Kluyveromyces lactis: one gene and its partners. The protein of the gene in region 4 interacts with the protein of the main gene of each other region in a pairwise test. Links are inferred from orthologs where the notes say so. Each region holds a gene or a part of one and is shown on either strand. Other genes may lie near its edges. The genes, in order: VPS52, VPS53, VPS54 and VPS51.

Evidence for each region.
Region 1: the proteins of VPS51 (region 4) and VPS52 interact in binary tests that used the Saccharomyces cerevisiae proteins (3 or more experiments, as listed by UniProt). The link is inferred for Kluyveromyces lactis from reciprocal best matches to the Saccharomyces cerevisiae genes VPS51 and VPS52.
Region 2: the proteins of VPS51 (region 4) and VPS53 interact in binary tests that used the Saccharomyces cerevisiae proteins (3 or more experiments, as listed by UniProt). The link is inferred for Kluyveromyces lactis from reciprocal best matches to the Saccharomyces cerevisiae genes VPS51 and VPS53.
Region 3: the proteins of VPS51 (region 4) and VPS54 interact in binary tests that used the Saccharomyces cerevisiae proteins (3 or more experiments, as listed by UniProt). The link is inferred for Kluyveromyces lactis from reciprocal best matches to the Saccharomyces cerevisiae genes VPS51 and VPS54.

What each region holds. Positions count from the first base shown.
Region 1 is NC_006039.1:335,330-343,226, reverse strand, and holds VPS52 (Vps52p), read left to right. Parts: upstream 1-3,891; coding exon 3,892-5,676; downstream 5,677-7,897. Other genes in the region: YPQ1 (cationic amino acid transporter), read right to left, coding at 1-590; TRM10 (tRNA (guanine(9)-N(1))-methyltransferase), read right to left, coding at 1,227-2,123; RFC4 (replication factor C subunit 4), read left to right, coding at 2,620-3,582; HMI1 (ATP-dependent 3'-5' DNA helicase), read left to right, coding at 5,938-7,897. UniProt on the Saccharomyces cerevisiae protein: Involved in retrograde transport from early and late endosomes to late Golgi by linking the vesicle through the t-SNARE TGL1 to the Golgi, leading to the membrane fusion between late Golgi and endosomal vesicles.
Region 2 is NC_006040.1:791,693-800,129, reverse strand, and holds VPS53 (Vps53p), read right to left. Parts: upstream 5,106-8,437; coding exon 2,694-5,105; downstream 1-2,693. Other genes in the region: Rab geranylgeranyltransferase BET4, read right to left, coding at 1-805, 895-897; spindle checkpoint protein MAD2, read left to right, coding at 1,086-1,676; KLLA0_D09416g (uncharacterized protein), read right to left, coding at 1,794-2,387; chaperonin-containing T-complex subunit CCT8, read left to right, coding at 6,034-7,725; KLLA0_D09328g (serine/threonine-protein kinase), read left to right, coding at 8,425-8,437. UniProt on the Saccharomyces cerevisiae protein: Involved in retrograde transport from early and late endosomes to late Golgi by linking the vesicle through the t-SNARE TGL1 to the Golgi, leading to the membrane fusion between late Golgi and endosomal vesicles.
Region 3 is NC_006042.1:412,287-420,730, reverse strand, and holds VPS54 (Vps54p), read right to left. Parts: upstream 4,618-8,444; coding exon 2,077-4,617; downstream 1-2,076. Other genes in the region: KLLA0_F04389g (DNA-binding protein REB1), read right to left, coding at 1-1,466; RPI1 (protein phosphatase regulator REG1), read right to left, coding at 5,013-7,571. UniProt on the Saccharomyces cerevisiae protein: Involved in retrograde transport from early and late endosomes to late Golgi by linking the vesicle through the t-SNARE TGL1 to the Golgi, leading to the membrane fusion between late Golgi and endosomal vesicles.
Region 4 is NC_006040.1:184,196-190,799, forward strand, and holds VPS51 (Vps51p), read right to left. Parts: upstream 3,718-6,604; coding exon 3,169-3,717; downstream 1-3,168. Other genes in the region: KLLA0_D02156g (uncharacterized protein), read right to left, coding at 325-1,890; ILT1 (Ilt1p), read left to right, coding at 2,257-3,108; KLLA0_D02222g (uncharacterized protein), read left to right, coding at 4,155-6,071; KLLA0_D02244g (TTC39/IML2 family protein), read left to right, coding at 6,362-6,604.

The DNA of each region.
Region 1 (7,897 bases), on a different chromosome or scaffold from region 4:
AATTCAGGGTTGCTTTGATGAGGATTCTTGATATAGGAAATGTACCATGAAAAGAAGCCAGCCAAGATAACGGATGAAACAATAATGATATTGAGCAATTGCTCCCTCAATTTCCCGTCTTCAGGTTTATCTGCATTTGGAGCAGTGGCTTCAGATGTTGTCGATGAAGTCTCCACATAAACACGACGTTCGTTGTGTTGGTGTCCGGTAAGCAAAGGCTGACGTTCATGAAAAACATCTTGTAAGACGTTTTCGTTGATTGGATTAGCTGGTGATAGATGTACAGGGTCAACAGGTCCATCTTGACCGTAAAACAAGCACTGAATCAAAAGAATTATATCAGCAGCAGTATAATATGCTGCCAAAATGATCATAGTGGGTAGTAAATGCTGAAGCATAGCGCCAAGTAAGTTGAAAATATCACCAGCAAGCCATAGCACCACAAACATAAGCGAAAGACCTTCTGCCGACTTCCTATAGAAGTTTTCATAAATCTGTGGAACGAAAACGATGATCCAACATGCAATAGAAATGGAACCTGTAATCCCAGAAACAGTCTGGGAGTTCAATACTATGGGAACTAGTTGCATTCTGTTTGTTAGGATTTTTTTGGATGTCAATGGTAGTTTCAATCAACAGGTACAGATGATGACAACCAGAACTCGTTTCAACTAGAACTTTTAGTAAATTTCTTCTCTTCTACTTCCTTTGATCATATACTAAAACTAATCAAATGAAATGAGAAACAATATATTTTACTATTTTTTTCTCTAAAGATGTTACCAGTAAAGAGAGTTTATATATCAGCAGTAACTTGAACTCTCAATACTCGCTTGTAAAATGAATTCGTTACTCAGTGCATGACGCAACTCGCAAAGTTTCCTGAGAACAGAAGACCATTCTTTGCTTGAAAACCTTTCTTTTCTATTGAGATGAGGGTACGTCCGGAAAAAAAAATGAAAATTCCATTGGAAGGAAAGATAGTCCAGTCAAATAGAAGTTAGTCATGCGTCGTGCGTGATGTTTTGTACTGTCCTCAAAGAAAAAATGAAGCCCTTGGGGAATTCTAGATCTGCAAATGGATATGTTTGTTGCCGTTTGCAGTCATTGGTAGGGTATGAGTGTGGTTAAAAACCGAAGACTGGTTTTATAGCTATGTAGTCTACTTGTCAGATGCCCATATGCAAGGTGTAATTAACGTACAATTATATAATAAAGGGCTGGCTCTATTCAGCAGAAGCAGTTTCAGAGTCTTCTTTTGTAGAGTCGACTTCGAGTTTCCTAGGTGGAAGCACGCTTTCGAATGCTTCCTTCCAGTCCTTGTTGTCGAAGTATCTCAACATTAGTTGGACCATATGGCTGGTAGTCAACACTTTCCTTCCAGCAAGATTGATAAATTCTCCGATAGGAAGCCTCTTGGTTGGGATGTTAAGTTCCTTTGCCTTGTTGTAGCATAGGTTCTTATGTCTGTTTTTATCTACTATACCACCTACGATATAAGTGGTCCCTGGTTCTAAAGTATCCAGTTTTTCTTCTGTATCAGCAGTCAGATAGACGGCATTCTCAGTGGGCAAGGTTGGATCTGCAGTAAATTCGAAATTTTTCCACTTGGTGTAGTTAGAGTTGCTCAAATCGTTATCGAATCGTTGTTTTAATCTCTTATCGAAAGATGTCACTTTAATCTTGGCGTAATTATTCTCTCTTTTGTTGCTAGAATAAGCTCTAGTGACTTGTGTAGATAAACTTACAATTTCGCGATCGTTCATTAAATCATCGAAGGAACAGTCAAGAATAATAGATATGCCGGAATCACTTTGATTCAAATTAACTTTTGGTGGACGCTTTAATTCTTCAGGGATTTCTTCGCCTCTATCAGTATATTCCTTGAGCTTTTCCCTACGTGCCAATTTGGCACGATTTCTCTTCTCTTTGCGGATTTGTGCATATTCTGCCCTCGTCTCTTCAAAACGCTTCTTCCTGCAGATCTTCTTCCATTGTGATTTTGATATGCCTTCCGGAGGAGGTGGAAATTGTGGTGCCCTAACTATCGGCTTAGGTTTATCTTTGACATCTGAGGTATCAGCTGGAATCTCAGCATTTGAATTTTCACTGGTATCAGACATTTGAGCTTGTCTTCAATTCTTTATTCTCGAAGGACCATCTGCGATGAGCTTCCATATCGTTGGAATCTTTGAAAGCTTTCTCTAAACATTCGTTTCTTCTTCTGCATTTTTCATGTTGATAAAGTTTGAAAGTCACGTGGGTTTTATGTCACTGGATAATCGCTTCCTGTTTCGCGATTAACACAACGATTCGAATTATATCAATCCCGAGAGCGTGACACCATATTAACGTGCCAAAATTGATACTAGTAAGTATGTCCAAGCGCCTGATTGTACTTCTTCTCTTCTTGTTTTTTTTTTGGTTTATCAACATGTATTTATATCTAAATCTTTGAAACTTTGAAATGTAGAGAGCATTTAATTCACAGAGCCAAATGAAAATAATGGTTCTGTCGAGGTTGAAAAGAAAATACATAACTCTGGGTCACTATCAATTGACCGATTAATAACTATAACAGGGGGTTCAGATCAGTTCTTAGAAGATTGATTTTGAAAGATGTCCTACGCTACCAAGTTGGAATTACCATGGGTTGAAAAATACAGACCGCATTTATTGAAAGATATTGTAGGGAATGAGGATACGGTGCAACGGCTACAAACCATCGCTGCTGATGGTAATATGCCTCACATGATTATCAGTGGCCTACCAGGTATTGGTAAAACAACTTCGATACACTGTTTGGCACATGAGCTATTAGGTGATGCGTATTCACAGGCTGTATTGGAGTTGAATGCGTCTGATGACAGAGGTATCGAAGTCGTCAGAAATCAGATAAAGCATTTTGCCCAAAAGAAGTGCACGCTACCAGCAGGTAAGCATAAGATTATCATTTTGGATGAGGCAGATTCAATGACCAGTGGTGCTCAGCAGGCTTTGAGAAGAACAATGGAGTTATACTCTAATACGACGAGATTTGCTTTTGCATGTAACCAATCTAATAAGATAATTGAACCTTTACAATCTCGTTGTGCAATACTACGTTACTCGAAACTAACTGATGAACAGGTTCTCAAAAGATTATTGGAAATTATAAAGCTGGAAGATGTTCAATACACGAATGATGGTCTCGAAGCTATTATCTTCACTGCCGAAGGTGACATGAGACAGGCAATAAACAATTTACAAAGTACAGTTGCTGGTTTCGGTTTAGTAAATGGGGAGAACGTTTTCCAAATTGTTGATTCCCCGCATCCACTAATAGTCAAGAGAATGCTATTATCTGGATCTCTCGATGAATCGCTGCAATATTTAAAAGAACTTTGGGTTAAAGGCTACTCTGCGGTAGATATAGTGATAACTTGTTTCAGAGTAATGAAAAATCTCGATGAAGTTAAGGAAACGGTTAGATTGGAGATGATCAAGGAAATCGGCTTTACACATATGAGAATTCTTGAAGGTGTCGGGACTCATCTTCAACTATCAGGTATGTTAGCTAAAATTCAAAAGCTTAAATCGTAAATAGACTATTACCACATAATTAACATCCAAAAAGTAATCATAATGATTGTAAATATTTAAATGACCCAAAGTTTTCAAGCTTGGGGACCTATAGAAAGCATATAATTAAACTACTCCCCCGTTCGCTCACCGTCAGCATTTCGTTTTCCTGATGTGTGTGTGTATTACAACTTTCAGAAAAAATACGAAAAGCCTGAAATATATCAAAAAGAACATCGACTACACCGCAAAGAATACAGTTGGAAAAGAAAGATACTTCAAATTGTATTACACTCTGTTCGTGACAGAAAACCATATATTGAAATTATAATGGATGTTTTAAGCGATCTGTTAGAATTAGATGCAACTGAACTTCAACTGCCAGAGGATTCTCCATCAGGTAAAGATGATAACATTGATACTTACCGAGCCTACGTTGACTCGACCCTAAAAAAAGAATATCAATTACATACTGAATTCCTCAAGGAATTTGATGATCTCATGGAAAAGAACCAATCAATACGTACCTCTACTGAGACACTTATACCGAGTTTGAAAAATTACTTTGCCGAATTTAACAACAAGTTGAACGATTTGACTAAAGATCTCGATTTCGTTAAGGGTAAATTTTCTGAGTTTTCATCGTTACTGAAGAGTAACTCTTCGAAGTTGAAAGACATAAGTCCCATCGTTAATGATTTGATAATCTCTCCTGAAATAATATATCAAGTGTTAAGAGGCAAGATTGATCAAAAATGGATTGATTGTATTGATTATTTGAACGATAAACAAGAGATATTCCTGAAGTATCAAGAAGAAAATAAATCAGAGAGACCAAATGATTTCGAACAGTTGAATGAAATCTTACAAATACTAAAGGCAGTTTCTGCAGAAAGAGCTAAAAAATATATTGTGATAAGAATTAAGAGACTGAGGGACGGACATCCTGTGCCAGCGCAAAGAATTCAAGAGGAACTACTTCAGGTCAGAGAAATCTATCAAATGATCTACAATACCAAGTCGGACATAGCTACAGAATTACGAGAAGCATATATTAATACGATGAAATGGTATTATAAGACATATTTTGCAAGATATATTAGATCTTTGACAATTTTACAGTACGTCCAGATAGATTCTCAATACGCATTAGGACAAGGTCTTTCAAATACATCGGTTTCAGGATCTTATTCTAATTATCTTTATGCCAGTGGAAGAACGCTCTTTGGCGCACAAACTGCTTCCCACTTTAATGTCACTGATGACAGCATTAACGACTATTTCCAAATATCAAAACGGTTGGATCTTATCACGCAAGAAGATAGGACAGTTATGGTATCGCAAATTGCAGAGAATAATCCAATTGCCAATTACATCGAAGTTGGATTTAAAAATTTAAACTTGGCATTATTAGATAATTGCACTGCAGAATTTATGTTTTTGAATGAATTCTTCAGATTACCAACTGATAAAGGTGATCTAATACGAACCATTCTTCTGGATATCTTCCAGCCAACTTTTGATAATGCTATGGACTTCACGCATCAATTAATTGATACATCATTCGATATATTTGGTGTCTTAATCAGCATTAGAGTTGCACATAGACTACAATTCGAAGCGCAACATCGTCAAATCCCGTGCATTGATGATTATCTTGATGGTCAGTTGATTCTTCTATGGCCAAAATTTCAGAAACTTGTGGATTTCCAGTGTGAACAATTAAGATCTGTTTCAATAACAACCAACGTTGCCCGTGTTAGAGGTGCTGGAACCGCTTCAGACCCGTTAGTAACGCCTCACGAACTCACGGTACAGTTTTCCAAATTTCTTCTCAGTTTATTGAAACTATCGTTAACCCACAAGGAACTTTTAGATGAAAGGGCAGAACCGTTGTTCCACTCGATAAATAGAATTCGTGATGATTTCGAAACAATAATGACAAAATGCAGCAAAAAGACTAAAAACGCTGATAATTTCCTAACCACAAATTATATGTATATCTACAACGCCCTTCAACAATCGTTCCTCAGAACAGATTCTGAAAAGGAACCACTCATCCTCTCACAAACGAAAACTCATCTTTCACAGCTACTAGAAGCATATAGTAAGTAAATATATATATATATATGTATACGAACAACCATTACAGTATCTCGTTACGAATAACACATTCAATCTTCGATTTATTTAGTTGTGCCGTTTCTCGTTTATTTTAAAAACGTCAATAAACATAAACAGTTTCTACTTTATTTTCGGTTCCATATATATGCTAATTTGAGATGACCGAAACAGAATAGCTATATGAACGTCGAGTGACGAGGAAATCCATTGGGCTGATCCACTCAACATAGAGTGTAGTCTGTGGTCAATCGTATGATGAAAAGGCCAACTGATTCGCAGAATGAAATTATCCAATTCCCTTATATACCTGCTAGCACTCTGAAAGTTATTGCAGGACCCGGTTCAGGTAAGACATATACATTGCTATGCAAAGTTCGAGAGTTGATCCAAACGGGGCAGGTGAAACCCCGTGAAATTATTATTCTATCTTTGACTAATAAAGCAGTTGATAATATTACAGATAATCTTCTAGGCGTCTTTCAGGAATTAAGCGATAAACCGTACACTGACCATGAAGTTGATGACATTGTTTCCCAAATTGGTATTTACACGATCCATGGCCTCTCGAACAGGATAGTTACTGAAAATATGGGTATTGTGAACATAATCGAGGAAAACGGTTGGAGAGGTCTAGTCAAGCTCATTCCAAAAGATTTTTGGAATAAGAGAAATGTTAATACTGCTAATGACCGGATCATTACGAAGAAGCTTCAGAAACTTATAAATGAATACCAAATTGACACAGATAATATTGATGAGACCATTGAAAAAGTAACAAAGTTAATGAAGCATTCAAATGTTTTGACTAACGATGATTTAATCAAAATGGCTGTGGAATTCTTAAAAGAGCCGAATTCAGAAGAGGATACTGCATTCACCAAATTTGTACTAAATGAAGCCAAAGTTTTAATTATTGACGAATTCCAAGACTTATATCCAGGTATATTTAAACTATTAAAGACATTACTTGGTCAAAAACACTTTTTAATATTTGGAGATATCAATCAAAGCATTTATGAGTTTTTGGGAAGTAACAAAGAAGTCATGTCTGAATTGGACAGGTTAAGACCTGATGATAAAAAATTCACTAAGTACATCCATGACAATTTCCGTAGTACACCAGAAATAACTGCTGCAGCCAATGCTGTTATAAACCAAACCGTTCCTGTTCAGATTAAAAGAGAAAATATAGTAGAAAAACATCCTTCCGGAGTTTACCCCATCAAATACAATTGCGAAGAATTAATAGATGAATTGGACTTCATTGTGAGTGAAATATGTCAGCTAGTTTGTTCTTCTGCAAAACTATCTGACATTGGCATTTTAGCAAGGACCAATTCTCATTCAAAGGCGATTGCTGACCACCTTTCAACATTCGGAATTCCCGTTTCAAAATTAACAACGCAGCCAGATTGGATGTCAGATCAGCGGATAAGATTCATGATTGATTTACTTCAAGTCGCTGTTTCGGTCATAGAAGAAGCTACACTGCCTAAAGACGCGTCTTTCACCATGAAAACTAAAAGTAATTTCAGTGTTATTGTTACTTTAGCAGCTTTAAAAGGATTTGGTAGTAACACCCTTCAGAAATTACATGAAAATGCCACAGCCACAGGTGCATCAATCTGGCATTTTCTAACAAATACACCTGTTTCAAAGTGGGGGTTTACTCCGGCAGTTACAAAAAAACTCGAAAACTACTTGCTAGCAGTATCAACATTAATCAACGATCCTCCTATTTTGGAAGTTGAACAGCCGCACATCTTAATAGATAACTGCTCATCTGTGATTTCAAAGTTAGATCTACCGTTATTCATGTGTGACAGTAACTCTGAATCAGGAAGTTTCCAAGTAAACTTGAAAGAATTCTATTCTGCTATAAAATTGTCGCTATTATCTAAACCGCAAGATCTTCCTACCGCGACTTGGTTTTTAGAAACTTTTCACGATCAAAGCATTATATACCATAACAATCAGAAAAGTATTACACAGGAACAGAATACTTTAGGCAGCGTTAACGTATCCACGATTCACTGTGCAAAGGGACTAGAATTTCCGATAGTTTTCCTAATGGGCCGCACAGATTATGGAAATTTCCCAATTGAAACTAACGCATTATATGTGGCCGTTACTAGAGCTCGAAACCTACTATATTTAATGAACGTGCAACATCGTTCATTGTCAGCATTTCCTGACCGACAGTCATCATTAC
Region 2 (8,437 bases), about 610 kb from region 4:
TAATATCATCATCGTTTATAAGTTCAATGATCTCGGTTAGTTCTTTTAGCATACTGCTATACTTTTCTGACGTCATATGCTCTTTTAGTGCACTCTCTTTAATAAACCAGATCAGATACGTCCAGACAGATTGATCTTCAGCATCAGTGAACATGGCATTCTTTATGTACTGAAATTCATCGTCGATGAAGGACTCTTTGTCAGCTATTTGATCTCTCGCCAGCATATGTTCAATTATATTCGTTCGTTGGAACCACGCGCTAAAGTTAGAGATATTTTGATTTATTTTCGCGGTTGTGTATTCAAACTCTTGTGAATTTAGACAGTTTCCGCTTAAGCGTTCTACTGTGCTTACGATGTATCTTCTGTAATGCCATCCATGGAAATTTCTCGCATCCATTTCCAGTAATTTGCCAACAATGGCTAATTCTTTCAACCAGATTTTCAAGGGAGAATTAGGATAATGCTCTAAACACCAAACCCTGTGATTCCATATCCAGTATACTTTTGGACGAACCTTCAATTTGTCCATAGTGAAAGCAAGTTCCCCATCCCAGAAAGTTTGATCCAGTGATGGGGCAAGTAGTTTTATAATTTCACGTCTATAATTCCAGATGGTGTTGAATTCTGGATTGATATTAAGTAACTGGGTAGTCTTCAGAAGAGAGTCCTTGTTTGCTACTCTTTTATTCTTCAATTCTAAAACCTCATCTGATAATTCTCGATAATCGAGGATTTCCTGTCTCTCCTTCTCGCGCTTCTTCCTTAATAACTCCTTTGTCCACTCTCTTCGTGTAACACCATGCTGAATTCATTTCAATTTGTAAATGTTAGTAATCTGCAATTGTATATTATGAGAATCTTCTTTGAAAAGAGTGCCGAGGTCTGCCATACCATTATTTGTCCTCGAGTCTCTGTGGAATTGAGTTTAACGTTCTGATTTGCTGTTCATCATAATCATAACTTATAAGTTTGAATGTTAATTATAAAAAATAGTAGTTTAAAATGAGCTCAATAACATATGTTTTTTGAACTTGCTTCGACGAACAAGGATTCAGAAGAGACTGGAAAGTAAAATTGGAAACATGGATTTGATATCATTAAAAGGTTCGACACGAATTGTTACTGAGTTCTTTGAATATAGTATAAATTCAATATTATATCAACGAGCAGTATACCCGGCAGAAGACTTCGCTACAGTTAAGAAGTATGATTTGAGCTTATTAAAAACACAAGATACAGAACTTAAACAATACATACGGGAAATTCTCCGGCAGGTTCATAGGTGGTTATTGGGAGGTAAATGTCACCAGCTTGTTCTGTGTATAGTAGATAAGGATGATGGTGAAACAATTGAAAGATGGAAGTTTAACGTAGATTCTCACAGCAACAAGAACGATACTGATGATGATATGAACATTCCATTAGAGGAAACCCAAAAGGAGATTCGGGCAGTACTTAGACAGATAACAGCCAGTGTCACTTTCTTGCCCGAATTGAAAAATGAAGGTAACTATACTTTCAATGTTTTGGCCTATACTGATAGTAATGCGAATGTTCCACTAGAATGGACAGATTCTGATTCAAAAGAAATAGCGAAGGGGGAATCTGTGCAATTCAAGTCTTTCGGTACATCGGCCTATTCAGTGGGAGCTGAAGTCACTTATAAGTTCTAACAAAATTAATGGCTGAACTTATTGCATTTCCTTTTAATACTTATGCTACAAATAGGAACAAGATATAGTAGAAAAGGCACATAATACTTAATTCAACTCGAGAAAGCTCATACTAATTCAATCATCTTGGTGTCTTTTCCAAACTTCTATCCAAATCTTGAGATGTTCAATTAGCTTTTGTCTTAAGAGTCCTTCGCATTCTTCCTGCATAAATGGGAAAAGGTTGGACAATAAGCACGTTTTGAACAACTTTAATTTTGACACGGCTGCCATATCAACCCTCAACTCTTCTTTAACTCTAAGAAGAGCAGTAAAATCGAGTTTAATGTTGTCTGACTCTGCTGCTATTTGGATTATATCCTGAATTATTGCTATTTCATTTGCTAGATTTACGGTGTATCCATTATCCAATTTGACTGAGAGATATGTCAGCCTATCATAAAGCGGTTCGGCCACAAACTCAGGTATATCAAGTTCTTTTACTATTTGAAACTCTTTGCGCTCTTCAGCTAATTCATCAAAAATATCGTAAACTTGTTTTGGGTCAAACGTATCATTCAAATCGGTTCTGATCAATTCCACAGGAAACATCAGAGCAAAATGTGATTCACCAACAACATCTATAAACATATCAATTTCCTTAAACTCAGCATCTGTAAGCGTGCTTTCAGCTATAGTGAAAAAAATCATTATGTAGAAGAATGGAATCATTGCATGAGGATACCAGGTCTGATTTCAAAATAAAGTCGATAGCCGAACCAACTTGTGCGGCACATTTTGTCATATAATCAGATATATTGTAAGTGCTCAGGTTAACTGATATATCTTAATATTCATAAGTAAATAATATCTTCGAGTTTTCTGTGTCATTTTGACTTGACGCATTGACATGCCTCGAAAATGTTAAAAAAAGCCTATTTAAACTGATAAATCTGCTACAGAGGTAAAGGTAGTATTACAAGTAGTGTTGCTGTTTCGTTGGTCAAACTGCGTGTGGAAGCTTCTCTACAGAAGCAGTTAGCCCTTCTTGAAAAAAAAACTGGAGTTTGACATAAGGTTTTTTATCTCATTCAATTTATGTCCAGGAATCTTAGGGGATGGAGACCCAGTGGGTGGACTAGGGGAGGACTGTATAGCTACGGATAAATCAGGACGTGGAACAGGTTTAATCTTGAGGTCTTCCTCCAAAAATGTTTTCCATGATGGATCTGATACCCTCGATAGATTGTAAATAAAGTTTTGTAGTTCTCTAGGGTTGAAAATAAGGTCATCTGGTTTCATCGGTTGAGTATCATCATCTGATTGTTGAAATTCTGACCATACTCTTTTCCAAAGTGCCAAATCCCAAGGTACACCTTTTAGCGCTAGTATAAATGCCCAGAAATTTGAGTTTGTATTCTGACTTGCGGTTATTGCATAATAGGTTTCCAAGTATGTTGTATCAGGGTCAATAGGAGAGACAAGTAACTTTAAAAGATGCATTAGTTTTTCCACATTACTATCTATGTGTTTCGTGACTCTTTTAGCTGATGTGTCATGTTGCGGTAAACTTTCCGGAAGTGAATGCAACGTTGTCTTCAATAGTTGAACGTCTAACAATAATTGTTCTGCGATATTTATCACTTGCTTCACATCGAACTGTCTTTTCGAATTAAGAGTGCCATATGGTAAAGCTGGTTTCAAGAGCTTTATAATTTGAGATTCAAAAGAGATAGCTATTAAATCAATAGTTTTATCAATAAAATTCCAACCATAAAGATCTCTATTGAATTGAGAAACAGTGGAGTAAAATGTTGAATTTTCCGATCTTGTTGGTAGGAGGATACTCTGTAAGGTAGTCACATATCTGCTGTAATCTTCCACCATTGTATTAGCCCAATTTGTGTTTGTGAACTCCCTCCATACAAATTCCAAATCTTTCTTCAGGATGCGATTTAGTAGTAAATTGATACCACCCGATACGAGATCCATGTATTTTTGCCTTGTAGGTTCAAAAATGGCTGCAACTTTGTTGATATTTGGCTCATCATTCTCAAGATATTCACAGAGTTTATCTTGCAATTGATCAATTGTATTTGCGCAATAGTCTGCTGTATTGACAAGAAGAACGGTATATTTCACTACTTCATTCTTATCATCGATTTGTGTATCCTCAGGTAACAACAATGGTTTCAAAATCTTTTCATAATATTCATTCAACCATTTGACGAAGAAAACCGCCAATTCCACCATTATGGTCGATTTATTACCGCCTTCTATCAAGCTGAAAGTTTGAGAAAGAATGTGTCTATAAGTTCTAAACAAGTCTGCACTGGATGGAACGACAAGCGATTCATTTTTAGCTGGGAGCTTGGTCTCATTAAGATATGTCAACATCTTGGCGTTCAAAGATGAATCTTGGTGTCTAACCCATAATTTCAAATATGGCTCAAAGCAAGTGGATATTTTACCCTCGTATATATGGGAAAACTTCACTGATATGTATTTTTCAAACTCTAAGGTAGTTTGTAACGATTGCATGAATAGGTCAATGGAGGTGGTACCGGACAAATCTCTCTTCAATAATGTTTTCAAATCGTTAGACGTCATTGTGAAGAAAGAATCCGTTAGTTTCAAAGGTATCTCCCATTCTGATGGGAAATATTCGCTGAAAGTAGACTGGAAATTATTTAATACTTTTTTGAAGAAGATGTAACGTCTAGACAAATTCTCCAAAGAACCAGCTTCATCATCAATTTGGAAGATTTCTTTAATTTCATACAATAGAGAATCCAAACACAATTGCACAATCCTTTCTTTATAATGCTTATTAGTGTCCGCAAGGCAACATATACCGTCTTTCATCGTTTTGCTGTCATATTTACTGTTAGACCCATCCCTAAGCACTTCTTTCGTTACTCTCTCACACACCAATAGTGTATCACTCTCTAAACGATGAATTTGATTTAGAAACTTACAAAACTCATCCAAAGATTTATATTCGTGGAAAGATACAGATAAGGAATGCATAACTTTAAAGGGGCCGCACATTTCAATGTATTTTTCAGCTTGCATGTACTTTTTAGAGTTCACGTATGCATCACTCAAGATCTTCAAATTTTCAAAGCACGTCATCGATCTCGTTATATTCCTCTTAGCGTTATCCAAATCTGAAATATCATGTGTCAAGTCGGATATGGTTGCTTCAGTAATCTGTGACAGAGACTTCGTTGAATTTATCTTCTCAAACAACTTGTGGAAATCATAATTGTCTTCTAAACTATTGACTTCTGAACTGGTGTTATTGCTTTCTCGTACCCGCTCCTCTAAATTAAATTTACATTTTTCGGTTAATAGCACTAGGTTATCAATATCTGATAAAGATTCCTGCTTCGAGAATATCTGTTGAAGATCGTGTAAGGGATCGTATTCCAAAGATTCTGAAATCATTACTTGTTAAGTTCTAGTTATTCAATTCAAATTAATGTGCGTGATACTAATACAGGAAACAATAATGGGGAGGAGCTGGATAGAGAAGGGAGAATTATACCTCTGCAACTTACAATTGCTGGCTCTTTTTGTCATTTACTGATGATACAACAAAGGTTCTTGTTATATTTGTTTCTGTATGCAATAATTACTATGAAAGTCTGATATCAGAAATATCGAAAAAAAATACAAAGTCTTTAAAAGGTGAATTGACAGTTCCAAACCCTTTAACTATGAAAAAAATAATGCTCCAGGGGAGGTTCGAACTCTCGACCTTCAGATTATGAGACTGACGCTCTTCCGACTGAGCTACTGAAGCAATTCCTTTGAGTAGCTTCATTGACACTGTACATATACCAGAACGATGTAATCTTCGCACTGCATAATATATTATTGCTCAACGAGTTACAGTGTGTAGCCAACGATGCTGCTCTTACAAACATATGTTTTGCATATGGCAGAACAACAGAGTAAGTGCCTTCCTGAGCTATATATTGAAATGGTTTGATTTGCCAGGATCAGCGAAGTTTTAAGATACATAACTCTATTCTGCTATGATTATTCCTAGGATGTTGACGTGGATGCATCCATCACCCAGCTACATACCTATTCTTTAGAGTAAGATGATAGTACTTTCAGATCTCCAGAAACACACATGTACACATGCCTTATTCAGACACTTTGTCCCTAGTAACTATTGGCTAAAGCATTCCCATATTTTCTGCATATCTCTCAATACTGAAAAAAAAAAATGCTAAAGTATCTTTTAACAACATAGTTGAAATATAGAAAACAGTGCGTGAACAAAGGTGGCGAAGACGAAACTTGTACGTGGAAAAGCTATACCTTGGAAGGAAAGCAGATAATTCACAAATCCTTGAAAAGCAGCATGTCTTTGAAACTTCCTCAAAATCCTAATGCGGGATTGTTCAAGCAAGGGTACAATTCGTACTCTAATGCTGATGGTCAAATCAATAAATCGATCGCTGCCATTAGAGAGATTCACCAGATGTGTTTAACTTCTATGGGGCCATGCGGCAGAAACAAGATCATCATTAATCATTTGGGAAAGCACATTGTGACCAACGATGCTGCTACCATGCTAAGGGAATTAGAGATTGTCCATCCTGCTGTTAAAGTGTTGGTGATGGCATCTGAACAACAAAAAATTGATATGGGTGATGGTACTAACCTTGTTATGGTGTTGGCTGGTGAGCTTTTGAATGTTAGTGAAAAGCTTATTGCGCTAGGTCTTTCACCTGTAGAAATTATTCAAGGTTACACAATGGCAAAGAATTTTACTTTGGCAGAACTTGACAAGATGTCTGTGTTGGATATCAAGAACAAACATGAAAAAAGTGAGTTAATCAAGGTCATCAAGCCAGTCATTGCATCCAAGCAATATGGTTCTGAAGATATTTTAAGTTCCTTAGTATCAGACGCTGTGGCACATGTCTTGCTACCAAATTCCAACTATTTCAATGTCGACTCAATTAGAGTGGTAAAGATTATGGGTGGTTCCCTTACCAACTCATCTGTTATCAAGGGTTTAGTCTTCAACCGCGAACCAGAAGGACATTTGAAGTCCTTGCCTCAAGGTGAAAAGCATAAGGTTGCTGTGTTTACATGTCCAATTGATATCTCAAACACCGAAACCAAGGGTACTGTGCTTTTACATAATGCTCAGGAGATGTTAGATTTCACTAAAGGTGAAGAACAACAACTGGACCAAATGATGAAAGAAATTGCCGAGACTGGTGTTAGATGTGTTGTTGCTGGTGCCGGTGTTGGTGAGCTTGCTTTACATTATTTGAACAGATACAATATTCTCGTCCTAAAGGTGCCAAGTAAATTCGAACTTAGAAGAATTTGCCGTGTGTGTGGTGCTACACCAATGCCAAGGCTAGGTGCCCCAACTCCAGAAGAAATTGGTATTGTTGAGACCGTAAAGACGAAAGAAATTGGTGGTGATAGAGTTACCATTTTCAAACAAGAGGAGAACGAAAACACTAGGACTGCCACAATCATCTTAAGAGGTGCTACGCAAAATAACTTGGACGATATCGAACGTGCCATTGATGACGGTGTCAATGCAATTAAGGGTTTAATGAAACAGGATGGTGGAAAACTTGTTCCAGGTGCCGGTGCTACTGAAATAGAGTTGGTATCAAGAATCAGCAACTATGGTGAAAAGACGCCAGGTCTAATGCAACTTGCCATCAAACAGTTTGCCGTTGCATTCGAAGTGGTACCAAGAACGTTGGCAGAAACTGCAGGTCTAAACGTTAATGAAGTACTACCAAACTTATATGCTGCCCACTCTCAAAAAACTGCGTCAAACGAAATCAACGATGGTTTGTACCAAGGTATTGATATAGACAACAATACCCCGGAATGCATCAAAGATATCAGAGATGAAGGCATTTATGATTTACTAGCTGCTAAGAAGTTCGCTATCGATGTCGCCACAGAGGCTGCGAAGACAGTACTTTCAGTTGACCAGATCATCATGGCCAAGAGAGCTGGTGGTCCAGCCGTACCAAAGGGTCCAAAACCAGGTAACTGGGACCAAGATGATTGATTCGAACATCTGTCCTCTTGGAAGCGCATAATTGTTCTCTCTTCTGTACACTAATTCCCCTACCACAAATAAAAAATTCAGATATAATTTTAATACTCACAGCTATACCTGTAACTGTCTTGAAAACGGTATCAATACCGCATATCATTATATATTTCATTCTTATGGTTGCTCTTAGACATCCTCTAAATCACGTGATATTAATTATATATCTTACCATCCTTTCCATATATGTGTCAATGTAAAATTAAATTATTTTTCACACAGTTCTGATTCCATTTTTCCAAAATTACTGTTCCTTTTCACAGAAATATCGATGACAACTTTTAAGGACAAAAACCAAAACTTTTCAACGATTTGAAGCTACGTTAGCGATTAGCGAAAGAAAAATATACGATGCGGGTCTGGACCCGAGAAAGAATAGGAGAACCAGAAATTAACAAGTATATCGATTGAGGAACAAAGTGCTTATCCGGGCGTATTGCTTAGATATAAGACAAAGCTAAAAGAGTCGGTACTGATTTTTTTGACCTGATCCTTAATTTTTTTTATTATAATAATAATAATAATAATAGTCGATTATTACAGTTGGGACTCAACTGAATATAAATCGTATTCCTTCTGTGGGTAGTCAGTATCTATCCCGTTATTAGATCAGTACTTTCAATAAGCTGATTTGATTTGGCAATTCATCAAGTTATGGTGGAAGAAA
Region 3 (8,444 bases), on a different chromosome or scaffold from region 4:
AATTTGTTCCATTTATAACGACATTGAATACGGGATCTTGATCCTCCCATTTGTTCACTTACAACAGTCCAGTTTATAATATCTTTTGCGGCTGGCTTCTTTTTAGAGTTCGAAATAGAGGGTTTCTTATCAGAATCCTGAACATCCAGCATATCAGCATCTCCAGAATCCTCTATCTTAGTAGATGAATCTTTCATTTCATCATCTTCACCATCTTCGTACGCAGTGCTGGCGTTATCCAACATTTGATGAATAACATTTTTCAATTTTTCTTCTTCCTCCACAGACCATTTATTGGCGGCTCTATTTGGACCACACTTGACATAATTTCTCCAACGATCCCTACAATCTTCTGGCATTCTACCTAAAACCTTACCGATGTTTGACCACTGACCTTCCTTCTCTGCACACCATCTTGCTAATTCGGCATCTTCCTCAGGAGTCCACTTACCACGTTGTTCAAAAATGTGATACTTACGACGAACGTGTTTGTAAATCGAAGATCTTGTCCTGTAAGGCAACACCCTACAGATATTAGTCCAGAAGTCATCTTTCCTTCTTTCGTTGGACCAAATTCTTTCACAAATTTGACGTCTCGAGAGGCCTCTGATCTTTTGGTATTCTTTGATGAATTGTTCTAGAGCTTCTTCTTCAGACTCATCGAAAGATTTACCATTCGATTGGGTTGCCGGATTGATAATATGGGAAGCTTTGGCAGCAGCTTCTTGAATCAAATTTGATACATCATCTTGTTGATCGTCGTTATGAGATTCAGATGACAGCACTTTAGGCAACACTTCCGCAGTTTTCTTCAGCCTTACCTGTGAAGGGATGCTACCAGATACTGAGACGTCATCTACATGATCGTCTATGTTGGAAAGGTCACCATACGAACGCTCTTCGCTTTTTTCCTTCTTAGGTTCTTGATCGTCTTCCGTGTTCAAATATTGTTGGAAATCCGGGTGTTGAGAAGCGATGTTATCAGTGTCCATGATTGCCTTATGGACCAATTGGTGATGAGATTGCTCCTCCGAATCGTTCCCATCGACCAAATTATCATCTAACGATGCTAATTCAGGATCCACAGCAGCTAGATGTAGCTTATTTTTATTCTTCTTAGACTTCTTATTATTCTGACCTGAAGAACCACTACCCTTGCCACTAGACCCAGTACTACTTTGCTCGCTTGGACGGCCTCTTTTCTTCACAGAAAGAGCAGCTGCCACAGCAGCTGCAGCGACTGCACTTACATCGTTAGCATCACGATGTTTCGCATTATCCTCCTGGTCCTGGTCCCTGCCCGGATCCTGATCTTGGTCCTGGTCTTGGTCTTGTTCCTTCAAAAACCAATCTACGGACTTCTGCTTGTTCACAGCGTCGTCTTCCCCAGATTTCTCTAGGCCAACTCCAACGTACTTGAAAACAGCCTCCTCAACAGACTCATGGTTCGTATCGTTCTGCGACATGATCAATGAAAACAATTAAGCTTTAACAAGACCCGGTTACCTCGATTGAATCACAATGGAATATGGACACGAGCTGGATATAAATGCTCTGCTTAACCTAAAACAATGTGTTTAAGATGGGAATACCCAGACAATAAGACTGATTGATACCTTAGAAAAAAAGTGGCAATTACTAATAATACAGGTCAATAAAACTCTTCCGTAGTTTACTTGCCTCTCGCTCAACAGACCAGAAATGCCGCGCGTACTTGAACAGTGATTAATACTCTCACACGCCTTAAGGTACCAGTGTAAAACTATCACTTTGGTGTTTTGTCAGGGTAAACAAAACAAAACATTCTAATTCAAAAGTATCAGAATCTCTAACTTTTCAAAGCTTCGTTGGGTCAATGTTTTCATGATGTTCATTGGAAAACGTTGACCCTCGTTAGAAATTGCGATCATATTATACGGAAAGCAGGGTAACGATACATACACAGACGCATATAGTGAGTCCACACTATCACGTGATTCATATTGCTAATATATATGCATAAATATTCAGTACAACTGAGATATCACCTATTCTATCATGCGCAGTGAACTGTTTACCCGATGGGTAGTACTTGTCTTAAACAGGAGGCGGGATATTGTTTGTTTGGAACAATTTCTCACTGGACTGTTGTAATTGTTTCCAGATGTTTTCGTACTTATCTGTCTTAGATCCCAGCGTACGTTGGAAATACCCTTGTAGTAGTAGCGTTATTTCCGCTAGACAATCAAGTGATTCGGCCATGATATTCAAGTTTTTATCTGTCTTTGTAGATAGTCTGTCTGTCAGTGATGATGATATAGATTCTATTGCCTTTGTATTGAAGAATTTCAAGACATCGGACAATTGACGTTCGCAATGTCTTGCATACTGTGATGGGAAGTTTGAGGCGAGTACCAATAAAGTTTTGATCATTTTGATGGCAAGGATTAGAGCCTCGCTTGCCACGAATGTCTTATCACCTAAGACAACGGATTTTTTGTGACCGGTAGAGGATTGCTTCTCATCCTTTGTTTCGTCTAATGGAGAAGGTTTGTTCAACTCGATGAATCGTGTCCAATTTGACGGATCAATGTCAATACACGATACAATATCATTGACATCCTTTTGCAATTCGGGCTCGACGATGAATGGTGTCCATCTCTCTACATCGATCTTTTGTTTCAAAACCCTTATGTTCAAATTTTGTAAAGATTTCAAATATGTATCGATTTGGAGGTTCAATACGTCAGAAAGATACTTCGTTAGAAATTCACCGCTTATAGATTCACACTCTCTCATGAAAAGCATGCATATCTCGTAGAACTGAAGGAAATGATCGAAACGTAATGTACATGTGATATCCCGTCTCACTGAGATTATTTTCCCCATTCGAAGCTGTACTATCCTTATACCCTCGTTAACGCTTTTCCGAATATCAAGATCAATAATCATCTTATCAGATTGCTCTGCCGTTGTCGGTAATTCACTTAGCGAAATGTCTAATAGCATTTTCTGATGCCGCGTTAACCTCTTCAATAGTTCGATTTCAGAAGTGAATATATTTACAAGCATTGATTGGAACTCTTGAGATGATTGTTCTTGAATCAACTTTGATAGCCTTGACCCATTGGCGGCAGTTGGTTTAGAGCCATCTTTCGACTCTTCAGGTGTTTGTCTCTCATGCGGTAGATTAACCTTAATAACAGATTTCAACTCTGCTATAAATTTATCCTCGTATAGCTTCACTGCCGGAACCAACTGATCACAATCGATTAATTGTATTAGATTTTCTTTGATTTGCTTTCGGAAGGTCTCATCGATCTTTAAATGAGGTTTGTTCTTATCCTTCCTAGATTGCAATTTGATGATCGTGTCATTTTTCGATTGAGACTTCGAATACGTCCTCAAATCTTCCAATAGTACGGTAACCAGACTCAATGAGTAAGATCCCCCGATGTCAACCTTCAGATTATTTAGCATGTCTATTATGCCCTGTAAACTAGAAAAACTTGAGATGTTTGTGAGTTTGTACGGCCACTGAGAGGTCCAATCATTGACAGTGGGATCATCATTGTCACCATTTATTAAGTTCTCAACTGCTTTAACCAATTTCAAACACTCTTGTAGTTTTTCTTCTTGATATATTTCTTTACATTCTTCACATTTTTCTTTCGCTAGTTTTACTTGTAGGATCCCCTGTTGTAACTTTTCCACATTTTTCCTTCTTATGAGATCTTTAATCATCTCAATTCTTTTTGAGATTTTATCCCCATTTATCCTCTCAAGGGCCTCAGCAGCAGAATCCAACTCGTTGATTGTCTCTGTCGCATTTTCTCTAATCTTATCGACGTCTTCCAAAGCGTCAAAAAAGCTTTGTATAGACTTGGAGATTTCAGAAACAAGGAGTCCCTCAACAGTATCTAAGTAGAATGCCAATCTTCCTTGAAGCTCTTCATAGCTGTCATTTCTAACTTTATCATCATCATTTAGTAGTTGATTGGCATCAAACTCAAAATCTCGTAGAAGCATTCGAAAGAAATTGGGGTGATCTAATTTGAACTCCTTATCAAAATAGAATTCAGGTATTTCTTCAAATGCCTTGGCTTTCGTATTTTGCAATCCAAGGGCAGTTTTATCATGATCAATAGATCTCATTTGCTCCATTCGGTTCAACTTTGATATATTATTTGTCGATTGATACACCCTATATTCGTCTTTAATGTCATCTCTGTATTGATTAATATCCTTGTCCCATTTATCCTTAATATCGTTCTTGCTTAGAACTACAGGGGGAATATCCTCGGTGGTTGGGTGCCGCAACCATCTTTTAAATCTGGTGTTCATCACAATTTCATATATTGAATTATCAACCAACGGTGAATAATCAAGACCGTGTTTTTGGGTATGCATCGTTGTAGAAAAAGAATTGAATGTGGAATCAAAACTACTACGCCTCATAGACATACTGTCCCTTATTTGATCCCTGTTTCTAGATAATACAGATAGATCATCGTTCAACGAGCTAGCATCATCTGAGGCATGACTGGGCACCAATAGTGGAGATCGACTTAATTGCGTCCTACTATCAGGAGTTAGAGATAGAGCTGGTGTCTCACTTCCCAGTAACCTATCCGGCATAGTTAACTCGCTGGTTTATAGTCTGTTGGAACAGCTTTTTCTTTGCTATGCATCTTAAAGGTGTATGTATCTGTTTACAATATGAACTTTAATCGATTTTCAGTTTTTACATATTCAATGATACTTCTAAAAGAAAGTGAACATGGTAGTTTGAGTATATAATTAAGCGCACTCTCTCAACATAAATAAAACACCGTAGCAAGTTAATCAATAGAAGCATTAAGCGCTGAGCGAGAGATCTACGCAGATGGATAAAACCAAGAAAAATTGTTGTTCTTCTAATTAATACTATTTACGTAGTGAAAAAAAAATATATATGCTGGTAGAGTGGTATTTTTAAGTTTAACCTCAATAAAAAAAATGAACTCCGAATATACCTAAGAGCACTTGAGCGATCACTCAGAATCAGAATCAGATCCAAATAAAAAGCTACCCGATGAAGGAGATTTTAATGGTGGTCTTCTTACCGTCGAATTGTGTTGAGATAAAGGTTCTCCAGTGATGAAGCTATGTGTCTGTTTTAAAACAGGAGATGCAGAATTGGAAGGTGTGATAAAATCATGAATGGAATTTGCTCTAGACTTCCCTATAGATGAGGTTCGCCTTAATGATAGTGGGTCTTTTGCAGTAAGCTCTAGTTCTTCACCGTTATCGTCATGCTCTTCGTCATCATGACTGAAACCAGGTTGGGAAGAATCTGCGATGAATTCGTTGTCCGGATGTTCATCGTTATCATCTTGTACCGGAAGGCTTTGATGGTATGTATATATTTTCCCTCTTGAGTCATCATCCATATATCCGTCATTCGCGTCCTGTATTGGAGTATCTAATCCAATGCCATCCGGTACATCGAGGATATCACACGAATTGTCCACAGTTACAAAGTTGGATGTATCCCCCGTGTAAACGGAATTATAATCATACATGTAGTCAAATCCTCTGCTAGTATTCACATTGTGTGATACTGCGTTACCATAATACCATTCATTTTCGTCTTCATCATAATATTCATCGTCAGATCCGTAGTTTAGAGTAGTGGCTGGAAGTGGTTTAATAGTTGCGTTTGGAAATTTGGATAGTGAGAGTGATCTTAAAGAATTTGCAACATCTGTGCCATCACTAGCCCCCGAATTGGTTCGATTTTTTCTAGTATGTGCACTGATAAATAACCCATCATCTTCGTCATCTTCGTCGTCATCTTCATCATAATCGTAGCTGTCAGCGTCTTCATCATCTTCGTCATCGGCGTAATCTTCGACGCTGTTGGCCCCTGAATTTCTATATCCATCGTCAAAGTCAGAATACTGATGCGAAGATCTGGCACCGTCCGACATATCGTCAGAGTGGTAATCGGTATTTGTCATTGGGACTTCGTCATCATTAGGATTAGCGTCTATGGGGTTATGATTAACCGCAATACATTGTTCGACACGGTCATTGAAATGAATATGTCTTTCCCTTTTTTGCTTTTGCTTCATCGATGATGTAAGAATCGATGATAATATGGGAGGATCAGATCTTGCGGATGGGGTTTCTATCACAGAGCCAGAGATTGGACCTGGAGTGGTATTTACTATCGACGAGTTTGTTTCGGTCACAACGGGCGAAATAGATTCCACCGATTCATCAGGCGGTGTATGGATATTTTTGTAATATTGTGCATTCACCTTCGCGGCAATAGCATCATAATCGTCATGCGTTGTCTGACTTGACTGCGGATCCAAAATAGCATGCAAGTCACTAGTTTGCTTTCTGTGCTGCCTTGCTATATCTAATCTCCATTTGGAGTTTTCCTCGATAATTTCACTAACAGTTCTCTTCTTTAGAATAGGTTTAGGACCGGGACTCTGAGACTTTTGGATCAACCTTTTTGAATTTTCATCATCGGAACCATACCCCATGGTGGCCGCATGATTGTTTCCTATTTCAACGTTGGAAGTGGGCTTTGATGACGACGTCGAGTTATTTTGATCGCCCACTACAATCGGACCGTATAACCAAGTTACATCAGAATCCTTTGACCAGTTCAAAGATTCTGGATTCACAGTTTTCAGATTATTTCTAGCCTTTGACCAAGTTCTCCAGGAAGCATTTTCCAACCTTGCAGCATTGATTAAATCTGTGTCCTTCCGTTTCTTTTTCAAAATGATATAACGCCATGACTGAGATATTTCGTTTTCGTTCCATTTATGAGATAAGTAATCCACATGTCTATTGGGTTCATACATCAAGTCGTTGTCATCATGATGAATTAGGAAATCGTCAGTACCCGGGTCTGGAGGAGAATTAGAATCTTCTACATCTTTGTAGTCGTAGTCGTAATCGTAATCTGCTTCGTAGTCATCGTCGTAGTTATCGACTTGCATGTTTTCGTCTGTGTAGTCTTCGTCGGTTCCGCCAACAGTTGTATTGTGTTTATTCAGCCCGGTGTCATTAAGCGTAGTATCATTACCGTCGTTATCGTCATTATAAGAAGTATTATTACTGTTTTTATTGATATTATCAGTTTTGTTTTCGTTGTCGTTGTTGTTGTTGTTGTTGTTGTTGTTGTTGTTGTTGTTGTTGTTGTTAATATTATTCATGCTCCCGCTACTGTCACCACTATTGAGGTCGTTACTCAAGCCATCGATGTTACTGTTAGAGAAGTTATCGGAATCAACAGAGCTCGAACCTGCCAGAAGTTTCTGAGTATCGTCGATGTATGGATCCAACAGTCCCATGGATCGTGTTCTTTTCAAATTGAACGTAGAATTCTTGAAATGGTCGTCGTCATCAGCATGAACCGCCATAGACACAGAAGGACCCATATCGTCGTAATTTGGGACTTGTTTATTTACACTGCTTGTTCCGTATTCATCATTCGATGAGCTTCTGTTCAATGCGACTCTACCCGGGGTAGCATTCCCCTGAGAAGCATTCCCCTGAGCAAAATACGCCGCTAAATTATTCTGCATAATGCAAAGCGTGCTGTGTTTATCTGGTAAAACCTTCTGAATATTATACTCTGCTGTCTTGTTCAACCGCGTGTGTATCACGCAGTAAAAAAGCTAGGTTGAATTATATCAAGTAAGCTCTGCTTGGATGGTAGAAGGTGATTCCTGCGATCCAAAAAAATTAATGGAATAATAAAATAAAATAAAACTGAGAACCAGACAACGAAAGAAGCCTAGGGTATCAAGCGTTATCAGACGCTATCCTTCAGTCCAACAGTAGTATAGTGAGAAATCTGATTTTGCCTAATGAAAGTAGACCAAATAGAAAAATCACACTATCGTTTAACTCTCCTTTATACCACAAATCGCTTCAGGAAAAATAAAGGACTCTCTCTCTGTTAAAGCAGATTGTAACTATCACTGAAAATGCTTAGCACAAAACAAAAATCGTCGAACGAGGCAATCAGAATACACACTTAAACCTGCTCTTCTTCCTATTCCCCCAAACCTTTACATTCTATATGTTCTATATGTTCTATATGTTCTTTGTTCTTTTTAAAAAGTGGATTTGAAAGCTCAAACCAAAGTCCAAAAGAAAAGGAAACCAAACTAAATTCCCAAAAAGAAAAACGAAAACAGAATAATGAGTACCGCTTGCCAGTATTGTTCAATAGAAAAGATCGAAAAGGAGGCAAAATTTGTCTATGACGCTTTGGTGCTTACGTCTTACAACAGACCGTGTTTAGACATGTAAGTAAAGTTACAGGGTAATAGAGTATAAACCGATCCTAGTATGGCGGACGCTATATTCTGTTGTGTTTGAATTTATTAATTTACTGAGGAAATACAACTCCTAGCTTTTTTTAATGGAGCTGGTTTCCAAGTTAATTATTC
Region 4 (6,604 bases):
CTAAAGAACAACAGCACAACACAGATTTAAGCAGTCACTCGTTTAAACTTCAACCGCCCTGTATGACGTATCAATTGTACTTGATTGCACTTCCCAAGCCCGTCTAATCTTTTTCCCTGTATCATTTCAATTCTTAAAGCACTCAGGTTCGAAATGTATTGATTTGAAGTTTATTGGTTTTCGAAATGGGATGATGCAGATCACGTGATACAGTTCAAACTTCACCCTTTACGGCAAGTAGACAATGATGAAGATGTATCCATAAGGAATGCAGTGGGCATTGTGAAGCGGAATTACATATGTTATTTGAATATTAATATACAATCAATTGACGTCTCCGATTTCGTATTGTCCAGGTTCGATTAATCTTAGGTAGTGATTGCATTTTGGTGTCTCTTCCTGAACATGCGATACGACAAAAACAGTTCCTGGCCATTGCTCGAGGAACTCATGGGCCCTTATGAGTTGATCAGTCTCTGTTCCGGAGAACGCTTCGTCAAGTATCATAATTTCCGGCATCTTAACCGCAGCCCTAACGAATAATGCAATCTTCTGTTCGCTAACAGATAGGGATGCGAATGTTTTCTTCGGGTCCAAATGGAAATAATCGATATACATATCAACAATTCTTTTCTGTTCGTCTGTAAGTGTGTTATGCGCTTTTAAAAAGTTGTTGGAACTGACTGCATGGAACCCTGATGCCACTGTTTCTAACACAGAGAGGTCACCAGCGTTCTTCAAAAAGAGAGCGTGCATCTCTGGCGAAGAAAGACCAATCCTTTTATTAATGTCAAAGAAGTTAGTGCTTCCGGTTCTTCTAGGAACGCCGTGGTCAACAAATTTGGAGTTCCAAGACTGTGGATGGTCTGCAGTGATCAAAGATAGCAAGGTTGACTTACCAGCACCATTATTTCCTTGAATATGCCATTTGGAACCTTGTTTGACATCCCAGTAAATATCTTTTAATACTGGTTCGCCACTGTATGTAACCGACAGACCTTCTAGCGTGACTACTGATGGAATCTTCATCACATCATGATGTGGGCTTTTATAGTACTTATGTGGCGAAATCAAATCCTCAATAGTATACTTACTCTTAGGTTTGTTTAGCTGTAGTACTTCTAACAATTGCAACCTCATTGATTCAACTTGGTCTCTATACTGCTCCATGGGACCTTGGAACTCTATACCATCCTTGTCCACACACACCACGTGCGTACACCAGTCTGGTATTTGATCTTGATACCTCAACCCTATGATGACTGATGTACCTTTATCATATTTGGACAAGAATTTTGATATGATCGAACACGCAGATGGATCCAATCCCAAAAATGGATCGTCAATAATTGTTAAGTCAGGTTCCTTCAATAACGAGCGCGCAAGCCTAGTACGTCTCATTTGTCCATTACTCAACCCCATAGCCCACCTATCTTTGATGTCAATAAGTTTTAACTCTTTCAACAAATACGTTAATAGCTCTGGATCCACGTATCTGTTCGTAGTCTCAACCTCATAATTTACTGCACGAGATCCCATTGAATTATCAAGAATAAACTTCTCGCATGTCTGATCAAATTCGTCCTTGAAGAACTCATAACGGGCACTCAAATGGGCTGTAGGCATCACACCTTTAAATTTAACTTGTTCAATCCGTGGTAACCGACCCTTTACAACTTTCGCATAAGTAACTGCCGAAAAAGGATCACTTATGTACTTGTTAGACAAAATATCAATGAACTTCTCCTTTGATGGACCCCAAATACACCACTTCTCACCTTCATTGATCTCAAACCGGATCTTGTTCGGAAATACATATGGAGAACCTTTCCTTAAGGATGATTTGAAAAAGGCATCAGTGATCTTAACAACTTGCTTATTAAGTGTCATATCCGAAAGTGAGACGACTGTGGTTACAGTGAATGATTAACGGAAGAAATGCTGTAAAAGCTTGGTATGCTTTATATTTCCGTTGATGCAACTTTCTTTGTTATTGCGACAAACTCCATCAAGGAAAGATTTTTTATATGATAGAAAAACCTTAGACATGACTCATTTCAACAATGATTTAACGAAATGATTAGAGACGCAGGAATGGAGATTATAACGGTCTTGTTGCGTTATCAGAAAGGTTATGGAAACCGTGCTCTACTAGAAATTTTGAAGGATATTTGAATGATAAGACAGAAAGCCCGTGCTAAAGATAACATACAAGTTGAGGAGCAAGTGGTTTAGAAGTATTACTGTCAGTTCTGAATGATTTCTGAAAAAGCAGCGTATGCTTTGGCTACTCTTGGAACGGTATGTTGGTGTGTACAATTGATTCCACAAATTATTTACAACTATATCAGGAAAGACTGTACAGGGTTCCCCCCCTCAATGATGTTTCTTTGGGTGGTTTCTGGGGTACCGTTTGGAATCTACTTTCTAATAACAAGAGGTAATATAATTCTTCAGATCCAGCCGCATTTATTCATGTTTTTCTGCTCATTATCATGGGTTCAATCATTATATTATCCCCCTTACAGTCTCTCTGTGAAAAAGATCTTGCTTCGATGTATTTTACCCATGATATTATTCATTGTCAGCTTTGAGATAGGGTTTACTCTTTGGTTAAGACCGGTGTATGATCATGGTACTCATTGGCCAGCGCTAGTGATAGGAATCATTGCCACTATTTTGCTTGCAGCAGGATTGATCCCACCATATTTTGAGCTTGCGAAACGTCAGGGACGTGTCGTTGGCATAAATTTCATATTCTTGTTTGTTGACTCACTTGGTGCATGGTGTAGCATTGCCAGTGTTATTGTAGGGAACATGGATATCATGGGAATTGTATTGTATGCTGTCGTCGCAGCGTTAGAGCTCGGGATATTCGCTTCCCATTTCATATGGTGCTGCAGATTTAAATGGTTTGGCAATGGTACTGGTGAATTCGATGATGACGATGTCGGTAGCACAAGCAGTTCCGTAGGTATAGAAATAAACGGAATCGATGGCGACTCTGCTGAAGACGGGATCTTTGCAGGTCCTTATATTAATAACGAGCAGGATAAAGATGATATTGGTAGTAATAATACAAAATCTATGAAAGAACAAAGATCATGATAGTTGATAGGACGAGGATGATCTGGGAAATAAAGAATATACGACATGCAGCGCATACCGTCACTGTTTCAACATGGGTCGAGCCATATTGCACGTTTCTCGCAGTTGCTCCACTAAGGATTCATCCAACTGAGTCATCTCTTTTAGTATTTCATCCACTTTAATCAAATCGTAATAATTATCGTATATAGTATTCTTAATGGCATTGTCTGCTTCAGTTTCCTCTGCCAAGAGCAGATTTTGAACTTGCAATAACTGCTTCAAAGACTTCTTTGTTACATCTATATCACCCTTTTCCAGTTCTAACCGGATCTCTTGCTCTGTATCTTGAGGTGATTTGCAGTTTTCAATGGGTGTAGAAGCAACGACATTGCCAAGATTAGCGCTGGTCACGCCAGAATCAATGTCAGCACCTGATGCTGGTATCGACCCCGTTGTTACTCCAGGTAAAACTGACGGCGATGGCGACTTCGTATCAGCCTTATCCGATTCAGCAGTTGTTTCTCCAGGCTTATTATCCTTTTGTAGTCGATAATACTCTTTCAATAGCCTTCTCTTCTCATTATCTACCCGTTTCAACGATTTTTTATGCGTAATTTGTTCTGCCATGGTCCCAAGAAACACAAACTCTCTTGAATATTACTGAACAGGCTGTAGGCTTGGGGTCCTGTATCGTCTAGACATTCAATTACCCGTTAAGGCTACCTTCAAAATGGTTAGTCCAAAGGTAATTAATGTCAAGCTGAAATGTCTAAAGTATGATGAACGCACTCAAAAAAAAAAAAAGCAGGTCACATGACTACATCACGTGACCTTTATCTTTCCCGTTTCTTTAAAGGGTTTAGCTTCTAGACAGGTTCCATCAAACGTATTTATATACACATTTATGTACATCCCGCAACGTTTGCAGAGAAAATGTCAAACAGATCAACGAAACACCCTCAGATACAGGAGAAGCGATTGGATGACCAAATAGTGGATCTGATACTTAAATAACTCTTCTGTTTTTGGTCTGAGATTGTGAATTTTGGCGCAACAGACCGGGGATGAGGTTTAGATCCCGACATCAAGTGGATAAACCGAACGTTATAGTGACACAAAGCAATAGAAAGAATGAGGATCGATTGGGTGAAGATGCTTCCCTGAAAGCTGCTCAGGCAATGTTCAAGAAACATACTGTGAGCCAAGGGTTTGCAGTATCGGATGCACCAGGGACAAAACTATCTTTACCCAATTCAGGGCATGGTACGCCGGCACATAACGTCCAGGCTATGGCAAGGTCCTCTTCTTCATCCTCTGCAACTTCTACTCCGATAAACATTATTAGAAGAAGTCCGAGATCTAGTTTAAAGGGCAAACCGATGGGCGGATTATCTGTTTCCCCACGGACTGTCGAAGGTAATGCAGCGTTATCGCAGCAAGCTGCGGCTGTAGCATTGGAGAATGAAATTAGTGGTGATGAGTCTATTGTTTTGGTTCCAGCTGGAAACTCAAATGGGAGTATGACGCGGAGTAATAGCAGCATTAATGCAATTCGAATCGTTCCAGGTGGTGGGTTGTCATCTTCTCGTAGCTCATCGAAAGTGTCAATAGTCAAAAATTCACCGACTCATTCTCTGGCGCTTGCTGATAAATTAAACTCGATAACTTTGGAAAGCGTTTATGGAAAACCTAGTACTGCTACTGGGACTGCTACTAGGACGTTGGCCGGGCGTAAGGCGCCTCCAGCTGCTTTTATAGACCAGGATTCCGTTCTTTCGAATGATAAACATAGTGAAAATGAAGACACACCTATCAAGGGCACTATCTCTTATGACACTACGGCAAGAATGAATGTTCCTGTGACTTATGAGGGTACACTCCCAGATCTTATACCAGGTCATCAGAGACACAAAAAGAAGAAATGGCGTAACATTTTTGGATCAAGCGCTACGCATGGCAGCTCCGCTGGAGGTGCTATAGGGATAAATGGCACCTCTGCATCTGGAAATGATCAATATGAAAATCCAAGTGGTACTTTATCTGAGTTACAGTTGAATCGGGCAGAAGATAATCTTATTGTGAAAAGCGTCAATCCAACGCAAAAGACTAGGCTTCAAACCACATTGAGATCTAATGATTACGATAGAAATTCAGAATTGGCTGCTGTCGCTGGAGGATATTCTTCGGATGAATCTGCATTCTCATCTGACTCAGATCGGGAATTGCATTATGCTACAGATAATCATCACAATAACAGCATCAACAATCATTCCAGTGGCGTCTATTACGGCAACGTTGGTGGTAATGGTGTTTATAATGGGGGTACGGCTGGTGTAGGAAGAACAAAACACAGGGCAATGGTACGATCTCACAAGCGCAAATCTTTCAATGAGGACAAGCCGTGGAAGTCTCATGTGGATATTGGATACATCAGTGAAAGAGAACGGAAAAGATACGAGGGAATTTGGGTCACCAACAGAAACAGTTATTTGGAACTTCTACCATGGTGGAATCAGCCGCTACAGGATGAAGAGCAAGAACAGGAACAGGAACGAGAAATGGATCATGAATCACAACATGGACTAGAAGAAGAATTAGAAGAAGAACGGGAACAAGAATCGGGACAAGGCCAAGAACAGGATGCAGATATTCCGGAAGATGGATTGATGTTGAACCTTATTGTAATGGAAATTTGGTCCAGAAGTAACCTTTCGAATCAGTTGCTAGGTCAAATTTATGATAAAGTGGATACGAGACACGATGGTACCTTGAACCGACAATCTTTTCTCACGGGAATGTGGTTAGTGGATCAATGTCTCTATGGACGAAAGCTTCCGAAACAAATAGATCAACGGGTCTGGGACAGTGTCGACAAGTTTGTCATCAGTATTCCGAACAATAATCCGCATCATCGTCACAGAAGAAGGAAGAAAATGCTTAGGAAAGAATTGAAAACCATTAAGAAGGACCTTAAAACTTGAGCATCATCGATAAATACTCGGACGAAGTCATACAGCTAGATATATAGAGACATACTTTAGCATTGCAGTGTGCCGGCAATGTACAAATATCGGGCTCTATGTCTCTCTTTTCTTGCACGTGATTAGCACAAGAAAGCAGGAGGTACTAAAAAAAGGCTCAAATTAGATCCATTCACAAGAACCGTCTCATCAATGATCTGAGATTTAAGAGAAGAAATTAACCTGCCAAGGAAAGGACCACCATCTGCTAGAAGTCAGTACTAGCATCGGTAGTACATTGTGTGATACTGATGTTTCGTGTTTTCAATGCTTTAACAGGTGCTGGTTCGCCTAAGGCCACGGAGCTTTCTGGCGAGGAACGAACCAAGTTTATCCTACAGCAGGCGCATGATTTTGAGATAGCGTTGCAAGCTATGGATTATGTCCTTGATGACAACGCGGAGGTGGGATTGAAGTTGCTAGCTGATAATCAGGCTACCAGTCCTGGTGATGCAACGGTTGGAGCGCTTGCGAAAGGTGTTATTGAGTTCCTT